Bombyx mori: one gene and its partner. The protein of the gene in region 2 interacts with the protein of the main gene of each other region in a pairwise test. Links are inferred from orthologs where the notes say so. Each region holds a gene or a part of one and is shown on either strand. Other genes may lie near its edges.

Region 1 (4,107 bases), on a different chromosome or scaffold from region 2:
ATAATGGCTAGACAAGGTCACAGATTACCTGGTGTTTAGTGATTACTGGGGTTTATAATCTGTTTTCTATCATCCACTCTATCTCATGTCTCATTGTTTGCTCTTTGTGTCCTAACCTTCTAACTGAAACTCATGACTGTTACATGAGGACAATTGTAATAGCCTGAGCTGAGTCACAACAGAGTACCTACCACCAGAGAACTGGACAGAAATTAGGGGTGAACATTTGGAAGTTTGGCAGAAAAGGCTAGAAGACATGTTTTTTTCTGCAAAAACAAGAAGTAGCGATCAAATAAAATGCATTTCTATAGGTTTCTTGGTACAGATGTGGTAATGGAAATCATTAATTCTTATATGTTTTCAGGATAAACCAGGTGACCATTCATGTGGATACTGTGGATTAAGATTCATAAAAAAAACTGGTCATTAAAGTTTGAACTGTCCAAGTCATCTTTTAAACGTTTTACCTGGATAATTTGTAGTTATGAGTAAATTAAAGATTGTTTTATGTTATATTATGTTTTATTGACCCATTTTTTTTCTGTGAACAATGCTCAACTAAATGTTATTGTTCATTCCTATTGACATAAATATGCAACTTATAACATTTAAATGGTGCAAACAAGATAAATAATTATTCATACTTAAATATCGTAAATGTATGATAATACATTATTTAAAACTCACGCTCACTTTGTGGTATTGGTCACTAAATATTGATAAATGGTAATATTAAGATTAACAATTTCTATTTTACACTTTTGAGACAAACAAATTACACTAGGTAACATGTATATTTGCACAATTAAATTTAAAATAGTGCTGTATTTGCATTTCTTCAATTACTGTTGTTGACTTCCTTATTTTCTTCACGCATTTCTTGTCTAATTGCAATATTGGATTGCAAAAGCTCTTTCAATTGTTGGTGAATATCATCATTTTTACGCTCCAAGAAATCCAATGCAGAATTAAGTTCATCTAATGTAGATTCTAATAATTCATACTCTGTAAAGGATTTGATAAGTTATTTAAAATTATATATTCTCATAGGTTTATTATTTTCATAATATTTTATCCTTCTGGATTGTTTTTATATTAAAATAAAGAAATAATTTACTCATTTAAAAGCTGGATTAAGATCCAAACAGGTTTTGAAAGAGATTTTCATTAAATTGTAATTATGTCAGTATAAGTCATTGCTGTCTTTGGCAGATGAATATGCAGCTCCCATAATAGTGTGATCATCATCATATCATTAACTTCTAGGTTATTAGTAATGTCAGCTGACAAAGAATCCTTTCACCAGAACCTAAGACTTTTTCGTGAGTAGAATGATTGAATGATAGGTAACGATACCATCATTTCTGTTAAAAAAAAACTCGTGGAAGAGACAATACAGTATACAAAAGAATCCATTCCTTAGGAGACCCAGTATTACCAGATATATGTGACATGAGAATGTCTGGTAAAATGGCTCATCCCTGTATGAGTTACAAGTAATTTGTAATGGAATGCTAACCCAAAATTACAAAGAACACAACAATGCCACAAAAACAATACGAACCAAAAATTCCTGAAGACTTATTCAGAGAATAAAATGACCAGCAGCAGAATGGTATAAGGATACACATTGGATATTATGAACTTATGCATAATAATATCATTTTCACTGCTATTTTAGAAATATTTAATTACTTTAAATAATCCCATTACACTGATAGTCACAGAACATGATAGTAAAAGTGTGTTTAAATATAGGAATGAAAGTGCTACAAGCAACAAAAATAAATAAAAACGAAATCAAATTTTAAAACATCAATATTTATAATTTTGTTCATAATAATTAAAATTTTACTAACACCGTAACATCATCTGAAACTTATTTATTTGAAAAAATTGGTAATGGCATTAATTTTAAAGTTTGATTCATATATTTTTTAATTAATTGCAGAAATCTGGGGATAGTACCAATACCAATGTCATGTGAATAGATAGTAATAGATACACAAAGTTTTACAATTAATTGAAATTGAAAACAGTTTTGCTATTGTTGATCTTTAGTGCTGGGGAATACGCTTGACGCTATAAATTTACTTCAATTTACCTTCTGTTATATCTTCATTGTTATCATCTTCTGGAGGTTCTATGTTTTTATTAGATCCATTTTCATTTTCACCACCATTTTTTGTATTATCACATGCCATTTTATTAGTCGTTTAATCTATGATTTTGGTTCAAGTTCAAGTGGCGAAACATAGATAATACACTGAATTTTGTCGAAATGACATTTGACAGGCTTACTTTCGTTTGTTCGATCAGTCTAAACTATAGTAGTTCAGTGGTGTAGTTAGTCCGTTGATCTTTATCGTAGCGTTTGTAATATCTTTGGTTGGGAGCATTTGGCGGCAACACCCAGTGTCAAATTGTTTTGTTATTTTATTGTTTCTGTTTAAATATGTAATATTGATGGATTATTAACCTCTTAGCATGACGCGTCTTGCACATATCCAAAATGGAAAATAAAATATATTGTAATAAGAGAAAACCTTTACTGAATATAAGGTTTTAATAAGCTAAAATTAACAATAAAATTTGCTTTTATTACATTAGGTACATACATTGACAAATAACGAATAAAACAGATTGACAATGACGTCAACTTATGGCTGATAATTTCAACTAAGAAGTTTACATCATTCTCCCGCACTATTTTAAAACATAATCTTTTGAAAATCCTGGCGTTTTATGGACGCGACCAGATCTACGAAGTGTTGGCTCCGGCGGTGGTGATGATGGTAATTCTGTCTCTAGCTCTCTGTTATTATCAAGTACCACAGGTCCCGTTTCATTAGATGAAGGAATCTCCAAGTTTTGGTCTTCTGTTTCCGGAAGTGGTTCTGCGACGTTATGATAATCAATAGTGTGTTCATTATCTATTCGCAGATCTACCCTTTCTGAACCCAATGGTGCTAGATGACGATTCGACACTGTTGTTTCTCGGCTATCTGGAAGCCGAATGTATGAAAAGTCAGGATTGCTGTGTATCAATTCAACCTCTTCTACTAATGGCTGATATTTATTTGTACGATTAAATTTCTTCATCAAGACTTGTCCAGAATTTGTAAGCCACGATGGAACAGAAGTGCCGTTTGTAGATCTTCGAGGATGTCTAAACATTCTTTCATGTGGAGTGCAATTTATGGTTGTACAAAGTAATGATCGGATTGAATGTAAGGCTTGTGGTAATACTTGTTCCCAATTTTCTACCGAAAGATTCTTCGTCTTCAGCGCCAAAAGAATCGTTCTCCAAAGAGTAGAATTCAATTTTTCTACTTGACCGTTACCTTGAGGGTTATAAGCTGTAGTTCTACTAGTGGCAATACCTCGAACATGTAAAAATTCCTGTACTTCAGCAGAAAGAAATGCTGTTCCGCGATCTGAATGAACGTAAGAAGGCATGCCAAATATTATAAACAAGTTGTTAAGATGTTTAATCACTGTTTTCGAGCTTACATCTGAGCATGGGAATGCAAACGGGAAACGTGAAAATTCGTCAATCACGGTAAGTATGAATTTGTTATTATTATTTGTTGGAACTGGTCCTTTAAAATCTATGCTAAGGCGTTCAAAAGCAGCCGTCGCTTTAACAAGTTTCCTCTGGTCATCAAAGGTATTTCGGAAGAATCTAGGTTTTATTTCAGAGCAGGTTCGACAAGATTTTGTCATTGTTCTGACTTCTTCAATAGAATAGGGAAGGTTTTTAGAGCGAACCCAGTGAAACATTCTTGTTACCCCTGGATGACAAAGAGCCTCATGCAGCGAGAAAAGTTTTGCAGTACGTGTTTCTACAGTGGCACAAACTCGGGATAGTGCATCAGCAGCATAGTTATCTTTTCCCGGTCTGTATAAAATATCGTATTTGAAAGCAGCAAGTTCCAGTCGCCATCTTTGAATCTTTTCATTCTTTATCTTACTTGAATGTTTCATATTAAACATAAAAGAAACCGAGCGTTGGTCAGTTACCAACTTAAAATGTCTACCAATAAGTAAATGTCTCCATTTCTTCAATGATTCCACAATGGCGTACGCTTCTTTTTCAATGGCGGA
Region 2 (3,994 bases):
TCTATGTGTGTGCGGGCCGCGTGAGCGAACACCACACTCACGTAAGTCATGACGGGCCTTATGCAAGTTTTGTAAAGTGTCACCTTGTTCCGAAGGGACATTTTACTCCGCTTACAGATCATGGGATAGAGTCTACCGAGAATAAATGCGGCACGGTCACGGACTGTTTTTATATGCGGACGGAATGTCATGGATGCATCCAGGGTTACTCCCAGGTACTTGACCTTCCTGGTCCAGGGTATAGGTTGGCCGAAGAGGGTGATCGGGGGTGTAATATTTCTCCTCCTAATGCGGGAGGAAATAAGCGGAGAGTAGCATCTTTGTTAACATGGCCTCACACATACGTTAGTGTTAAATACCTACTCTTTGCTAGTTTTACGAGAAAAATATATGAGGACTTTTTGGCGGGAGCGCGAGAAGTGAAGTTGTGTGATTTGTTTTATTTTGTCTATTTAGTGTTTCTTCGGGTTCAATTGTGTAATAACGGTGGTTTCTTAACTGTTTAATATCTGTGAAAGTGCACAAATGTGGGAAAATGAAACAAAGACGCTGGACGTAAGTTCTCGGGATCCTCCAAAATGTCCACTGAAAATATCTCAGCAAATGACCACCATTTTACTGAGATTATATTTCATTCCATATCATCTCTGTTAGACAGTTTTATTTGAGGGGATTGGGTTCTGGAGGAGATGAGGGGCTATTTAAAAAACACTGCTTCATCTATACTAATATTATAAAGAGGAAAGATTTGTTTGTTTGTTTGTTTCGAATAGGCTCCGAAACTACTGAACCGATTTGAAAAATTATTTTTCCATTAGAAGCCGACATTGTCCCTGATGAACATAGGCTACTTTTTTTTATTTATTTTTTTTGGTTTCATGTTTCCGAAGCGAAGAGAAGGCGGGTCGCTAGTGGTTAATATAATGATATTGCAAATACTTTGTACACTATTACACCATTACAATATTTCATTTTTATAAAAGCTTAAGATGTTGCACTGTCTGTGTCTAGATGAGAAGTCATTGTCGTCACTGAAGAGAAGACAATCGTCTGTTTTAAACATTTGTAAAGTTTTAAACAAACTGTAACCATACGTATTACCTGCCATTACTTACATATTCAAACTCGAAGAATCTCATCTCATTTCATATAGTTTAATTTAATTTCATTTCTTAATATTATTTTTCAGAAAAAAAAAATATAACGATTCAGCTGTATGGTATGATACCTTTTGCATTGCCAATTGAAAAAATAAAACTACTTTTATACTGACACTGACACATTAGACACATTTGCTTGTTTTAATGAAAGACCAAAATATCAAGAAATTTGTGTATAAATATAATGTATTGTGTACGAAAACAATAAATAATGGCGAACGGTACTCCAGAAAGTGATTTCTCGATAGAATGCTTCCAGAACTACACTGCGCCCGAAGTTTTTGTTCAAGGCCTAGCCGGTATGGTGGATCAGACTGACGTTGAAGTGATTATTCGAGCACAAAAGAATATGTAAGTACGAGCCAATTGAGAATTTAACTTAAACCAAAAAAGCGAATTCCTAATTATTATACCTATTAATTTTTTCAAACTTAAAAATTATTTGTGAGCAACAAATGAAAATCAGTATGAAATTTAATGATACACTCGCTGAAATAAAATATGTATCAGAACTGGTGGTAAGACCTCTTGTGAGTCCGCGCGGGTAGGTACCACCGCCCTGCCTATTTCTGCCGTGAAGCAGTAATGCGTTTCGGTTTGAAGGGTGGGGTAGCCATTGTAACTATACTGAGACCTTAGAACTTATATCTCAAGATGGGTGGCGCATTTACATTGTAGATGTCTATGGGCTCCAGTAACCACTTAACACCAGGTGGGCTGTGAGCTCGTCCACCCAACTAAGCAATAAAAAATAAAACCTTAAAATACAGTATATGGGCATTTTAATTTATATCTCTCATAATTCATTTTTATATTTTCTGCCTCAGCAGAACAAAATTATTTGACAAGGTGATTTTGTTTTGTTACCAAATAAATCCCGCTCGAATAAAGTTTTCTTAGGTTGCAGAGATTTGAAAAAACAACAGAAATGCTGACAAATTGTAATCAGCTGTCGGCCAGTAGATTAAGGGCTGCATCCACAGAGTTCAAGAAACACACACAACTACTGTTCGAAATGAGGAAGGATTTGGAATTCATATTTAAGAAAATTCGGGCAATTAAAACCAAGCTCAGGTTTGTTTGATTTCTTTTTTAAAAAGAAAAAGTTTGTGTTTTGCTTTTATAATAATAAGTAGTATATAGTATAAATAAATTAAACAAGGCTTAAAGGCTTAAAAAAGCCCTCTGTAGTAATCAGTAGTGTTCCCCTGGCATTGTTGATATCCATGAGTGGAGGAGATCTCACACCATCAGATGAGTCATGTTCTCATACTCTCGGACTGTAATAGAATAAATAAAGAATCTGCTTAGTAGTACATTCATAAATTTAAAAAATGTGGTACCTTTTTTTCGGCCATAGTTGGGTAAACAGTTCATAGCTTATCTGCTATTACTGCAGTTTGTAGACTACATAATACAGCAGTGCGGTTTATTATAATAGTATGCAATATCGCGGACGATCTCCAACACGATGGACCGACCTCATAAAACCTGTGACTCACTCCAATATAAATGATTGCTCACACTCTGCGAAACATCGTGCCACATGGCGTCGCATCGCGAGAGCATCAGTATCGCAGGATCCGACTGATGCATGACCACGACCACTCTTCAAGAGTGTACGAATAGGAAGAAGATGCAATAGTTATCTGGACTCTTGTGTAACAAAACATTTACTCTGAGCTCAGGTAGTCAATCTGAAAGTAATGAATCAATAAATTTAGCTTAAGGCTTCAACTATTGAATCATAATTCTGTGAGAAGAATTGACCTAATGAGCTCATGATCATTAAAAGAAAATTTAATAAAACATTATTTTACATTACTCTATAAAAAGACCATCTGATATGCCACAGTTGAGGGAAACTTATTTACATTAAAAAATAATTAATTTTCAGTTCTCAATACCCAGAAGCATACAAAGAAGCGGTTGCAGAGTCGCTTGCAAATCGTAAACCCCTCGTAGATGACGAAGATCTGAAGCCATCAGAGGAGAAACCTGAATCAAAGATGGTTGCTACAGTCTCAACTGAGACACTGAAACCGACTAATTATAATAAGAAATCTAAGAAAAAAGACAATAAAAGCTTTGAATCTAGTGTGGCCGGCTCAGAAAAAAAACCTGCATGTCCAAAAGTCAGGACCAGTAGTTCCTCGGAAACTGAGAGTGCCAGTTCCGGTGATGATAGTAGTACTGATACAGGTTGAAAACTGGTTCTGTTTTTTCATTAGTCAAATCTAAAACATTTATAAAAGCTATGGAGTTTTCAATAACTAGATTTTTTGTTGATTACAATAAAGAATGACAGTAAAATTCAGGTAAAATCATTACTAATAATATATATTAAAAATGGAGACCCAATAGCAATCTTAATTTTTTTTAAAATGCTTAACCAGGTTCCAAGTGGAACAACTACAAGAAAGTCATCATATTTTGTTATATATTGCATAGTTAAATAATCAGTTTTTGCAAACAGAACTTAACTCTAGAAATATCAGCTTGCGAACTGCCTTGTGCGTATATTTGATAAACTATATTGAATCGAAATTTAAATGACAGGCAATGACTTAATAACCTCGACTTTTAATTATTATTTTTATAATAATGTGTTAAGTACATACTGATTTTTCTAGATTTTATAAGATTTATATATTTATGTAATTTTATTAACCAACAAATATGTACACTACGTATATTAAACACTAGAATAATTTTATATTCAAGTGGGATATATAAATGTGTTGATAATTGTTTGAAAAATTCGGTTACCTTTTAATGTTATTAATTGATAATTTCGATGCAGTGATTGAAAAATCAGCCCACAATTAAACTAA

The links.
Region 1: the proteins of kxDL motif-containing protein CG10681 (region 2) and UPF0184 protein AAEL002161 interact in binary tests that used the Drosophila melanogaster proteins (3 or more experiments, as listed by UniProt). The link is inferred for Bombyx mori from reciprocal best matches to the Drosophila melanogaster genes CG10681 and CG14818.

The regions. Positions count from the first base shown.
Region 1 is NC_085110.1:8,466,271-8,470,377, reverse strand, and holds UPF0184 protein AAEL002161, read right to left. Parts: upstream 2,631-4,107; 5' UTR 2,205-2,630; coding exon 2,105-2,204; intron 1,006-2,104; coding exon 839-1,005; 3' UTR 501-838; downstream 1-500. Other genes in the region: probable NADH dehydrogenase [ubiquinone] iron-sulfur protein 6, mitochondrial, read left to right, coding at 365-430.
Region 2 is NC_085126.1:11,815,292-11,819,285, reverse strand, and holds the start of kxDL motif-containing protein CG10681, read left to right. Parts: upstream 1-1,194; 5' UTR 1,195-1,371; coding exon 1,372-1,511; intron 1,512-2,060; coding exon 2,061-2,234; intron 2,235-3,057; coding exon 3,058-3,367; 3' UTR 3,368-3,994.